Oryzias latipes: one gene and its partners. The protein of the gene in region 3 interacts with the protein of the main gene of each other region in a biochemical or structural test. Links are inferred from orthologs where the notes say so. Each region holds a gene or a part of one and is shown on either strand. Other genes may lie near its edges. The genes, in order: uba6, prkn and ube2g2.

What was found.
Region 1: the proteins of ube2g2 (region 3) and uba6 form a complex in vitro, tested with the Homo sapiens proteins (2 studies listed by BioGRID, with this or other methods). The link is inferred for Oryzias latipes from reciprocal best matches to the Homo sapiens genes UBE2G2 and UBA6.
Region 2: the proteins of ube2g2 (region 3) and prkn form a complex in vitro, tested with the Homo sapiens proteins (6 studies listed by BioGRID). The link is inferred for Oryzias latipes from reciprocal best matches to the Homo sapiens genes UBE2G2 and PRKN.

Annotation. Positions count from the first base shown.
Region 1 is NC_019859.2:12,642,342-12,646,633, forward strand, and holds the start of uba6 (ubiquitin-like modifier-activating enzyme 6), read left to right. Parts: upstream 1-1,487; 5' UTR 1,488-1,571; intron 1,572-2,054; 5' UTR 2,055-2,103; coding exon 2,104-2,144; intron 2,145-2,262; coding exon 2,263-2,357; intron 2,358-2,464; coding exon 2,465-2,493; intron 2,494-2,595; coding exon 2,596-2,690; intron 2,691-3,241; coding exon 3,242-3,353; intron 3,354-3,741; coding exon 3,742-3,822; intron 3,823-3,914; coding exon 3,915-4,037; intron 4,038-4,202; coding exon 4,203-4,292. Other genes in the region: glyoxylate reductase/hydroxypyruvate reductase, read right to left, coding at 1-7, 349-521. UniProt on the Homo sapiens protein: Activates ubiquitin by first adenylating its C-terminal glycine residue with ATP, and thereafter linking this residue to the side chain of a cysteine residue in E1, yielding a ubiquitin-E1 thioester and free AMP.
Region 2 is NC_019873.2:12,964,705-12,968,355, forward strand, and holds part of prkn (E3 ubiquitin-protein ligase parkin), read left to right. Parts: intron 1-719; coding exon 720-883; intron 884-1,292; coding exon 1,293-1,542; intron 1,543-1,777; coding exon 1,778-1,893; intron 1,894-2,321; coding exon 2,322-2,405; intron 2,406-3,150; coding exon 3,151-3,266; intron 3,267-3,651. UniProt on the Homo sapiens protein: Functions within a multiprotein E3 ubiquitin ligase complex, catalyzing the covalent attachment of ubiquitin moieties onto substrate proteins. Substrates include SYT11 and VDAC1.
Region 3 is NC_019879.2:26,800,982-26,803,986, reverse strand, and holds the end of ube2g2 (ubiquitin-conjugating enzyme E2 G2), read left to right. Parts: intron 1-527; coding exon 528-646; intron 647-1,699; coding exon 1,700-1,840; intron 1,841-1,912; coding exon 1,913-2,025; 3' UTR 2,026-2,380; downstream 2,381-3,005. UniProt on the Homo sapiens protein: Accepts ubiquitin from the E1 complex and catalyzes its covalent attachment to other proteins. In vitro catalyzes 'Lys-48'-linked polyubiquitination. Involved in endoplasmic reticulum-associated degradation (ERAD).

The DNA of each region.
Region 1 (4,292 bases), on a different chromosome or scaffold from region 3:
CTGCACCCTATAGGGCAAAACATGAAACCACAGATCTGAAGCAACCCCAATATGTCGTCATCAGCCGCAGAGGTCAGAAGTGCATAATGGGTTGAAATGAACAAACTCAAAAACACGGAGGCCTCATTGTTCTATGTACCATCAAAATTTCTATTTTAAATATTTGGAAATTTAAGATATAGATATATTAAAGAGGTTATGGAATTTGCAATCTTACAATTTCAAATGCAAACATTAAAAGTTTTCCTCTAAAAATGGGGATCTTTACAAAACAAATTTGTTGAAAGTGCTTCAATATCAGTGAGCAGCATGAAAGACATTTCAGAAAGACATATTTTTCTAACTTACTGTCCTGATTCTTTGAGGATCTTCAGTCCCTCAGGCGGGATCTGTCGGGTCACATACACCCGCTGGAGGGTGGACATTTCTCTCTGGACGTTACTTGGTACGCCTTCTTTGATGCTCAGGGGAGCAACAGCGATTTTCTGGAGCCGACGTAGTGCCATGCGACTGCCCCACATTGCCAAAGAAGAGCAAGCCTTTGGAAGATGAACGCAGTTCAGTCTGTTTCAGACTTAGTTTTGGCTGCAGCTCAGGGGGGTGGGGGGCTCCTGTGGGAGTTTGACCAATATGCTGAAAGGGAGGGTGCCTCTCAGACTAAGGTGCCCAGGGTTGAAAAATAGTTTTCTGACAAATGCAAGTCAGGGCTTTTTCTTGTTTAGGGTAAAATAGGAAAGAGGCCTTTTAGACTGAATTATATGCAAACAAGAATGCATTCAAAACTTGAAGTAACAGTTACTATTGTGTGTTCGTCATCGTTGTCTTGTAGAGCAACAGGAGTTGAACGGATGTAAATGTTTCACCAAACTGTTGACCTTTGCTTCTCTAAACAGTACAGCACCCAAACATGTTCTGTTCTATTTCTCCAGCTTCTCCAGTTCATCAAACCCTCATTCTTTACCCAAGTCAAATCAGGTCAAAGTGCAAATGATCATACAAAAAAGAAAGGGTTTTTGATAAAAATCAGTACATAAAAATTAAATAAAAAGGGACAAAATTGATATATCCTACAAAGCACATAAATACACAAATAAACAACACAAAAAAGATACAGTATACCATCAAAAAGATTGATAGACTGACTGAATAGAGCATGTGTGCATCAATATTGTCTTGGCAGCTCTGAATCTGAAAAAAGACAGGTTGTTTTTGCCTGTCATCCTCTATTTGACTGCAAAGATGAACAATCTCCTCCGGGTTGTTTAGATAATTTAGTACAGATGGTGGAAATAGCTGGAAAAACAATATGATCAAACACAATGTAATGGTACGTATTAATACCAATAGGGTTTTTTAAGATGATGCCGTTCTGCTAAAAAAAATATGCAGATTTAGTTTATTATTGTTATTATTAGTATTAGTTTATGTACTGTAATACTCATTTTAATCACCACGACATGATTGGATGACTGCTATCACGTGATTACTGTAACCCGGAACCACTTCAAATTTTCAACCACTCACAGCCATTCATTCGCCGAGGACCGTCGCGCATACTGTCAGCTATTAACGTAAGTCGTTTGGGTTTAGTTTTTAACTCTATAAATAATAAAACCTACATTGTCCTCGCTGAGTTGGAGATCTCTCTAAAAGATTGAACAACCCGGAAAGTTGCATATTATATTAACAAATGTGTGTCACCACTTTTTATGAGTTTACGGTGGCTGTCCTCGCTACCGGTAACTGGGCAGAAGTGAAATCCGTGGCTAGCTTGTGGCTAACGTTGCTTTTTCCTCTCGAGATTAGAAACGAGCATGCGCGATCATTATAAACAATTTGTAGTCGTTGTAACATTTGATCAGAACAAGTCCTATGTAACGAGTTCTAACCGTGAACTGTTACTGTTGACAACTTGCCTCCCATCAAATGTCAGCTAGCCGCCAAGCTATACTTTTAATAAATAGGGCGTTGGTCCACATTGCATCTATTTACACTAAAGTGTCTCACATCTTCGATATCAACTTTCTATTTGTTACGTGCACCTTCTTCTTAAGGTAGAGTCGCTATCTTTAAACCGGCTGAATCAGCCCTTTTCCTCCCAGCATGGCTGCAGACTTGATGGAGATTGACGACTCACTTTACAGGCAAGTGCAGTTTTTGGTGTTCTTTTTTTTCTTCTTCTGATGACCTGAAGCTCCACGTGCAGCTGTCTGTCTCCTTGGTGAGTGTAGCTAACATCTTTATTTATGTGCTTCCTAATAGCCGCCAGAGATATGTGCTTGGAGACGGTGCCATGCAGCAGATGGCCCAGTCCTCTGTCTTTCTTAGTGGAATGGGAGCACTGGGAGTGGAGATAGGTGAGCAAGAGAAGAGGACACACGTTTGCACCACAACTCTTTATCTTTGATAGATTCAAAAAAAAAAAAAAAAAAAAAAATCATACTCAATCATTTCCTTCTTACAGCCAAGAATATAACTCTGGCAGGTGTGAAGGTAAGAGGGCTTTTAAACTTTTCTTGTAATAAAATAGCAAACATGTCTTTTTTTTTTTAGTTAAGGGGTTTTATTATATATATATTTTTTATTTTTAAACAGACGGTTACTCTCCATGACACGAAACTGTGTGAGACTTGGGATCTGGGGTGTAACTTCTTCATCCGTAGAGATGACGTATTGAACCAGAGGAAGAGGTAATAATGCATTCTGCAAGTCCAAGCATTGGTTTCTAAAGATGATTAACTGCTATATGTGATTATGAATTGGTTTGTAAAGAACCACTTCAATTAAAAATCAGGTTTTTGGTGTTTTTAATTTGTTTTTGTGGCAATTTTTCTCATGATGGAGGGCATGTATAAAAAAATATTAGGCTTTATACTGCATTTCTGAATATTTTTGTTATTTATTAAAATGAACTACTACTGCCCTGTAGAAACTGTGTCCCAGAAAAAAAATAGCATGATCATAATTAAAAGACATCTGGGAACACGTTTTGAATAGATCAAAAGATGATCGGAGTAGGACTTTAGGTGCAGCAAAAACTCAGGTCTATGCATGGCTTTTGTCAACTCATTTGTTACTAAATAACATGCGTAGAAGCCTAGATGAGAGAACTTGAAAATTAGTTAATAGCCACTTGATCTTATCGTTACTTATGAAAAAGTTTTTTCTTTTTTTTTCTGTCCTTTTGTTGTGGATTTTGTCTTGTGTACCAATACTCAGCCTCTTGTTTTGCCTGTTACAGGGTGGAAGCAGTGTGCCCTCGTGTTGGGGAGTTGAACCCTTATGTTCATGTTGACATGTCCTCCTGTCCCCTGGATGACAACATTGACCTGAGTTTTCTCAAAAAGTATCAGGTAAGTCGACATATTTTATGTTATGTTATGTTCACACCGAGCGTGTGTGGCGCCTAAACCTGGGTTCTATAACACACATTTGGGTGTTCACACTGGACAAGCTGGCAGAGGCTTCTTCTGCTTTTTCTTTTGCTACTGTTTACTAGCACATGTCCACCACCTACATTTGGAAGACGTTATGCTGTTCTTGGACTAGTTTGTTGAATTTTTCCAGAAAAAACGTCAGATCAGCAAGAAATCTGCAAATGCTCTTGTGCTATTGGCAGCTTTATATTAAATTGTACTGTCAACTTTTATGAAAGAAAATTTTTGTCATAATTTAAGACAAGATTATTCCTGTATTCCTGAAGGTATTACTATATACTGACTGCTGTGCTTTCCCCTGCAGTGTGTGATTTTGACAGAGTCCAGCTTGAGCCTGCAGAAGAGAATAAATAAGTTCTGCCACTCCCAGCAGCCTCCCATAAGAGTGAGTTTACAGTCATTCCCCTGGTTTTACCAAGATCAATATTACTTATAACAAAAACGGTTTATTTAAAATAAAAAATATGTCTGTGTTAGTTTATCTCTAGTGACGCTTATGGAATCTGTGTCCGGGTCTTTTGTGATTTCGGAGAAGCGTTTGAGGTCTCGGATCCCACAGGGGAGGAGCTCAAGGAGATTTTCATCCAAAGTATCACTCAGGTAGTCATAATACTTTCACATTCTGTTCTTCAAATTAAGACTCCTCCCTGTTCCTCTGCTTATGCCTCTTGGAATTTACATAAAGTTATCTAATCAGTTATCCTGATATTTTTGTTTTGTTGCTGAACTTGTCCTTTTCTTCTTTTTTTTCCATATTTTTTTCAGGACAATTCTGGGGTGGTTACTTGCATAGACAACCAACCCCATGGTCTGCAGACGGGCCAGAGCGTTATCTTTAGAGAAATCAATGGCATG
Region 2 (3,651 bases), on a different chromosome or scaffold from region 3:
TTTGTGAAATCAACTTCCCGTTTCTCCTCAGGAGGTAGAACCATCTCAGTCTTTGAGGAATTTTATTCTTCAACGCTGTGAGGAGGTTTGACTCAGCCACATGGCAGTTAGATGTCTCACTCACATTATAATTGGCCCTGGCACTACAAACTCCAGATCTGATTGGCTGTTGCACTTGAGCGTGCTCAGTTGGTTCTTAAAGCCTCAGGGAAATTTAGTAGAAGGTGGCTGCACCAACTAGGTGCAATGTGATTGGATAAAATTCACTGATTTATTGATTGGTTGTTTTATACAGTGCCGTTTTGTTCAAGTTTTTGGTTCCCCTGACGTTTTGTCGTCTTTCAAACGGAATGAACTCAGAGGTGGGCAGAAATTCCTACACTTCCATAACTTTTTTTTTTTTGGGGAAACTACGACCAATATCCATAACAAACAACTTCGTCATTCACAGGAATGTGGAACAACTGTTTTTTAAATTCTTTTGCTCAAACAGGTTTGTTTGATGGTTTGAAATTTTCCCTTGTGTTTATAAATCTAAACCCTCCGCTTTGTGTTTCTGTTTGCAGAGGTGACACAGGTCATGCCCTCAAACAGAAAACCAATTTACAATACAACTTCTGTGTGATACGCTGAAAAATGAATCAATAAGTAAGATCTGTGATCTCCATGAATGGTGTCTGCATGAGATTTCATAGCAGTCTTCCATGCTGTGTCCGCAGTGTTCGTGCGCTACAACCTTGGCCCCGGTGTGGCCGTGGAGCTCCAGGAGGGGGCGAGTGTTGCCGAGCTGAAGAAGGTGGTGGGGAGTCAGCAGGGCGTCCCCCCGGAGCAGCTCAGGGTGCTTTTTGCTGGGAGGGAGCTGCAGAGCACCTCCTCCCTGCAGGTGAGGCTGCTGCCTGCTGGGAAAATGAAGGACGCAGGAACTTCTTGTGTCCAAGCAGGAAACCTGCGACTCAGCTCAGTTTGGCCCCACAGGTCAGGACATCTCAACGTTAGGAGGCAGGTTCACCGATAGACACCATCTGAATGAATCAAAAAATGATAAAGTCTTGACGCCACATTTGAAGAAATCTTCTGAAAAGTCTTCGTGTGGATCCTTTTGAAAACAGGGAGATATCCTCAAAAACCAGAGGCTGTCATGAAATCTGAGGCTACTCTCATGGTTGTAGCTCCTTCAAAATAAAAGCCTGTGGAGATTCAGATTGAGCTGAAGCTTTGTTAGGTTGTACTTTGAAGACTTTTTGAGGTGATATTGAGAACTAAACACCATATTCTCCTCTCTCTCCTCCTAGAGCTGTGACCTCCCAGAGCAGAGCACCGTTCACGTGGTCCCTCCCCCTTCAAGATCGTCCTCCTCTCAACTGCTGCTCTTTCAGGAACCTCAAGGCAGCGAGGAGGAGCAAGAGAGCCTTACAAGGCTGGACCTGAGCTCCTCACGCCTCCCCGCCACCCCCGCAGACCTCACAGGTACCCTAAAGGATGGAGAGATGGGGGATGGAGGACAAAGGTTACAGGAGGAAGGTGAACTTATACCTGGGACAAGTAAGTACATGTACTTGTATGTCTGGGTGTGTATAGGTATGTTTGTGGGTGTACAGATGTGCATGCAGGTGTGTTTGCGGAGTTTGTGCAGGTGAGACATGAGAGCCGTATTACAGTCACCTGACAGAGAGGGCGCTCTTGAGTCAGCATTTCAAGTTGTGAAAAGTAGTACAGGTCTTATACCGTTGTGCACCGGTGAGTCTTTGCAGTAATCCAGCTCTCTGTGTGTGTACAGGTGTGCGTAGCCGCAGTTCTTTCTTTGTCTATTGTAAGACCTGCAGGTCCATTCAGCCTGGAAAACTCCGGGTTCGATGCCGGACCTGCAAACAGACAGCGCTCACACTGAGCAGGGTAAGAGCAGCACATCCTGTGTTACTGTTCAGAAAAACCCAGGTTTTGTGTTGTAGTTTGAAATTCTCTTTTCTCAGGCCACCTTGGTAACGTTTACTAAACTGTATGTGGAGTTTAATAGTGTTTAGATTTTTTTTATGTCCCCACTGACTTCCTTTTTTGGTATTTCTAAATTCAACAAGTTTTTGTTCAGAAAAGGAGCATGAGACCATCAAAATGGCGGGATTAACACAACTCTCAATTGTGGAAATTTGCCCATCATAGAAGAAGATTCATTGGTCATCTTCCAGTCAGACGACCACACTGGATTTGTGTTCAGAGTTAATGTTTGTGTTACCCAGTGGTTTCCTAGTGAACTAACCTGGCTCAGTTACTTAACTCTGAACTGCGGGAGCTGATGTCTCACTGAGGATCTCTGTCTTTGTCAGGGGCCATCTTGCTGGGATGATGTTCTAATTCCTGGACGTATCCATGGAAACTGCCAGTCGGAAGGATGCTGTGGCAATGAAGGGGTAAGGCCGGAGCATAACATTGGTAGCTGGGTTTTTTGTGAGAAAATTGTGAACTCTGGTGTTTGGTGGTGATTTCCTTTAGTTCCCAGTGAGCCTGCTTACATGCCACCAAATCCCTTTGTTATCTGAGGTCTCGAGCCATTTTTAGAAAGGATTATCAGATGTCCTCTATCAGAAAATAACGAGATGTCGGATTAATATGCTTGTTTTTTCTCGAAAAGGCGATACCTTCCTTTTTAAATGCCCGCTTATGTCTTCATTGACTTCCTGTTAGAAGAAGTATACAGTGAAGGAGATAAGTATTTGATTTCTTGTTGATTTTCTTTTTTGGTTTGCCTACTTAAAAAGAAATTGACAGTCTGTCATTTTAATGGTAGATTCATTTGAACAGTGAGAGACAGAAAATCAAGAGATCAACTTGAAAGTAGAAATTTCTTTGGATTTCATTGAGGGAGATAAGTATTTAAACCCACTTGCCGAAAATACTAACTGCTTTGTGGCAAAACCTTTATTAGCAAGCAGACAGGCCGGACTTTCCCTGTCGTTGATGAGCAGGTTTCTGCACAAAATTGGGAGGAATTTTGGTTCACTCGTCTTTGCAAATGACTTCTAAATCCTTAAGATTTTGCAAAATTGTCTTCTCTTCATCCCCGATTTTTGAAAAAGCTTTTACTCAAAGTAATTGCGTAGCAGACTTCCTGTTGAATGAGGAAAATAAGCTGCGTATGTGCTTTTATGGTTGCAGGAGTTCTACATGAAGTGTGCTTCTCATCCAACTTCGGATGATGACGTCTCTGTGGCTCTGGACCTCGTCATGATCAACAATAAAAACGTCCCCTGCATCGCCTGCACCGACATCATGTAACACACATGCAGCAGCGCTGAGCACTTCCTGTTTCGCTGTGATTTAGTATTCTGCAGAGATATATGGATTTAGCGATGGATTTAGGTCAGAATTGCATGTGACGTTTGTTTACGTGACCTATATAGAGCCAATCTGCAATCGTAGCAAAACCACACTATCTAAAGTGGAAAATGGGACACAAACACGATTATAAGTCCACATCCAAAGTACATGAATTAAAAAGATGCATTCTCTCCATCTCCTTTCATGTTGTCTCCATCTCCTCTTTGAAACTCTAGCTTCATGTATTTGTGTGGAAAGTTGTGTCGGTGAACATCTAGCTAAATGAAGACACAAAACTGCGGCAATCCTGTTTCATGTTTGGAAATCACATTTCGTGCA
Region 3 (3,005 bases):
TCTCCTCATCACTGCAGTTGCTAATATCCTCGCGCGCCACGCCTCCTTGCCAGTGACCTGCCTTGCAGCGTGCCTCTGCCGTACCAAAGCTTTGGTCCGGAGCAGAATGGTCCGCTTGATGCCAGTCTGAATACAGACCAAACGCAGGGTTCAGGACTCGATCCGGAACAAAGGATTTTCCTAGTCTAGACATACCCTGAAAGATCAGCTGGTGGAGAAAAGCTCTCAACATTTCCACAACAAAGACCAGAAAATAGTGGAGACTCTATTTTATCCCAACACGGTCTTCTGAGACTTGTTGCTGATTTTCTTGCTGTTCGTTTTTATTACGCCATGAGGAATACAGTAGCAGCAGGAGGATCCAACTACAAGGTCTGTAGGATCCTCTCCACAAGTCCTCGCTCTCTGGTGTTTCACGGAGTTTGAAGCTTCTCCAGGCGATGGGTTAGCCTCCAGTGTCGTTGTTGCGTTTTCTTGGTGTTTGGCGTTGTGAGGCTCTCACCGCCGCATGTGCGTTTGTGTTTCAGGGGCCCCGAAGACACGTGTTTCGAAGGCGGAGTGTTCCCCGCTGTCCTCAGCTTCCCCTCCGATTATCCTCTCAGTCCTCCCAAGATGAGGTTCACCTGTGACATGTTTCACCCCAACAGTGAGTCCGCCCACGGCTTTGTGCCTGCTTTCGTCACCATGGCAACAGATGTTGAGCGCACAAACCTGCGACCGCTTTAAGTATCTGTGATGGAGCAACGTTTGATTTCATCTTCTTGATGACTCAGGAAAACTGAAATTTGGATCTTAAAACCTCCACTCACACACGCACACACACACCCCTACACTCACACACGCACACACACACACACACCTCCACTCACACACACGTCTTGTGTCTTAGCCCGTCTGCAGACTTGTCTCGGCACGCTCCAGAGCTTGTTGCTGTTGGCGTGTTTTTACCGCTCTCTGATTAGTGGGGCCGAAGCCGTGATGTCAGGACACGAGCGCTCTGAGCGCGCTCAGTGCTGATGAGAAGACGAAGTGCTTGTCGCTCATCTTCACCAGCATGGCCCTGAGCCGAACTCCACGCTGCAACTGTTAAAGATGAAACGGAAGCTGCCGATAACAGCGGCTCGGTTTTCAGAGGAGATTTCCTGCAGCTGGACCGAGCGGCAGCGCCCTGAAACCCCCTGCACGGGGAGGGGGTCCAAACAGGATCAGATTAAAGACCCACTCCAATAGAATATGTGGTTTTGGTGTTTTTAAAATGTTTTTGTTGCATTTTTCTTGTGATAGAGGACATAGAGCATCGAAGCTTGTAACTGCCTTTCTTAGTATTTATTAATTTAAATCATGGTAAATCAGGAGCAGATGACAAAACAAAAACGCTCTCAGTTGTGATGTAGAAACTCCAAGGGGCAGGCTAAAGTCTCACTGCTCCACTCTCTTCCAATGCACACACTTCTGGACGACTAGATCCATGAACGTCCTTAAAACTGTTCGGCGGGAAACATCCAACATTTTTCACCATATTTGTTGCACCTCTCAGCTTGGGGTTGTGAGGGGCTGTAAGCTAACGGGAGAGAGTGTAAAAAAATAAAAGACGATACGAAATGAAATATAATCCCATTTAGCAGTTTAAAAAAAAAGTTGCTAAGAGTTCAGAGAAGCTAGAACCGGTGAACTAAAGCGTTCTCCTCCCCCGCCCCAGTCTATCCCGACGGACGGGTGTGCATCTCTATCCTCCACGCCCCGGGTGACGATCCCATGGGTTACGAGAGCAGCGCCGAAAGGTGGAGTCCAGTCCAGAGCGTGGAGAAGATCCTGCTCTCCGTGGTCAGCATGCTGGCAGGTATGGAACTCGTTTGCGTCTGACACCAGCAGGGACTCGGCGCCATTCACAGATTCAACCTGTCGTCCTCAGAGCCCAACGATGAGAGCGGCGCCAACGTCGATGCCTCGAAAATGTGGCGCGAGGACAGAGAGCAGTTCAACAAACTGGCTCAGAAGATCGTCCGCAGGTCTCTGGGTTTATGAGGAGGACGTCTCGTCAGGGCGTCTGTCGGTGAAAGACCATCACCATGGAAACCACCAGCACACAGAGCCGCTGACATGGACAGACTGATGGGAGGGTGCTCGTCAAGGCGCGTCAGCAGCCGTACACTGCATGTCTTCTTACCTCCTCTGCTAGTCTCCTCCCCCAGACTCTTGCTTTAGTGGTCACAGCGGCGTTGGACTTCTTCGGACTTTTTAGACTGTCTGTCTTCGTGACGCAGGATCCTCACGATGCGCAGTTGGGCTTTCACAGCCGGGCCGTCGTAGCTCTGCTGCAACGTCTCCTGTGGATTTGTCTGATTTCACAAATAGATCAATAAAGGCAATGAAAGAGTGAGGTGCTTGTTATGTTGGTTTACTCTCTGCAAAATGTGAGGAAGTGTGGGAATCTGCAGCCGTGAATCGCTGCATAACTTCAGTCAACCAGGAAGGAGGTGAGCAAAGAGGAAGACAAGACAACACAAGACTCTTCAAAGTTCTGGATCCTTCAGATTCTCCTCAAACCCTGTCTGAAGGTTGATCTGTAAGTCACAGTTTCTTAAAGTCAGGTGTTTAGCTTTCAAGCACAACTAAGATTTTAGACCTTTGAGTAATCTTACTAGGATTACAGTTTATTTAAAGAAAACTTGTTGCAAGTATTTCTTTATCCATTTTGTGCTGACTCAGAAGCAGATGATAAAGATGTCCTTTGAAAAAGCTTGTAGTTGTTACATAAATACTATAATCAGTTGGTCTAAAGCTCCCTGCTTCACTGCATTCTGATGCATCCACTTGCAAACAAATAGATCCTTCGTTTTCCTCGTCCGAGCTGGAATCTGGCCTAAAACTGTACGTCTGGATAGCTCCAATAATACTTGCCATTTTTGTCGCACTGGTTGGGTTGGGGTTGGTGATGGGCTCGCGGGAGAGAATGTAAACAAAGGGATGATGGGACATGAGCACAGGCTTACTCCTCGCCAACA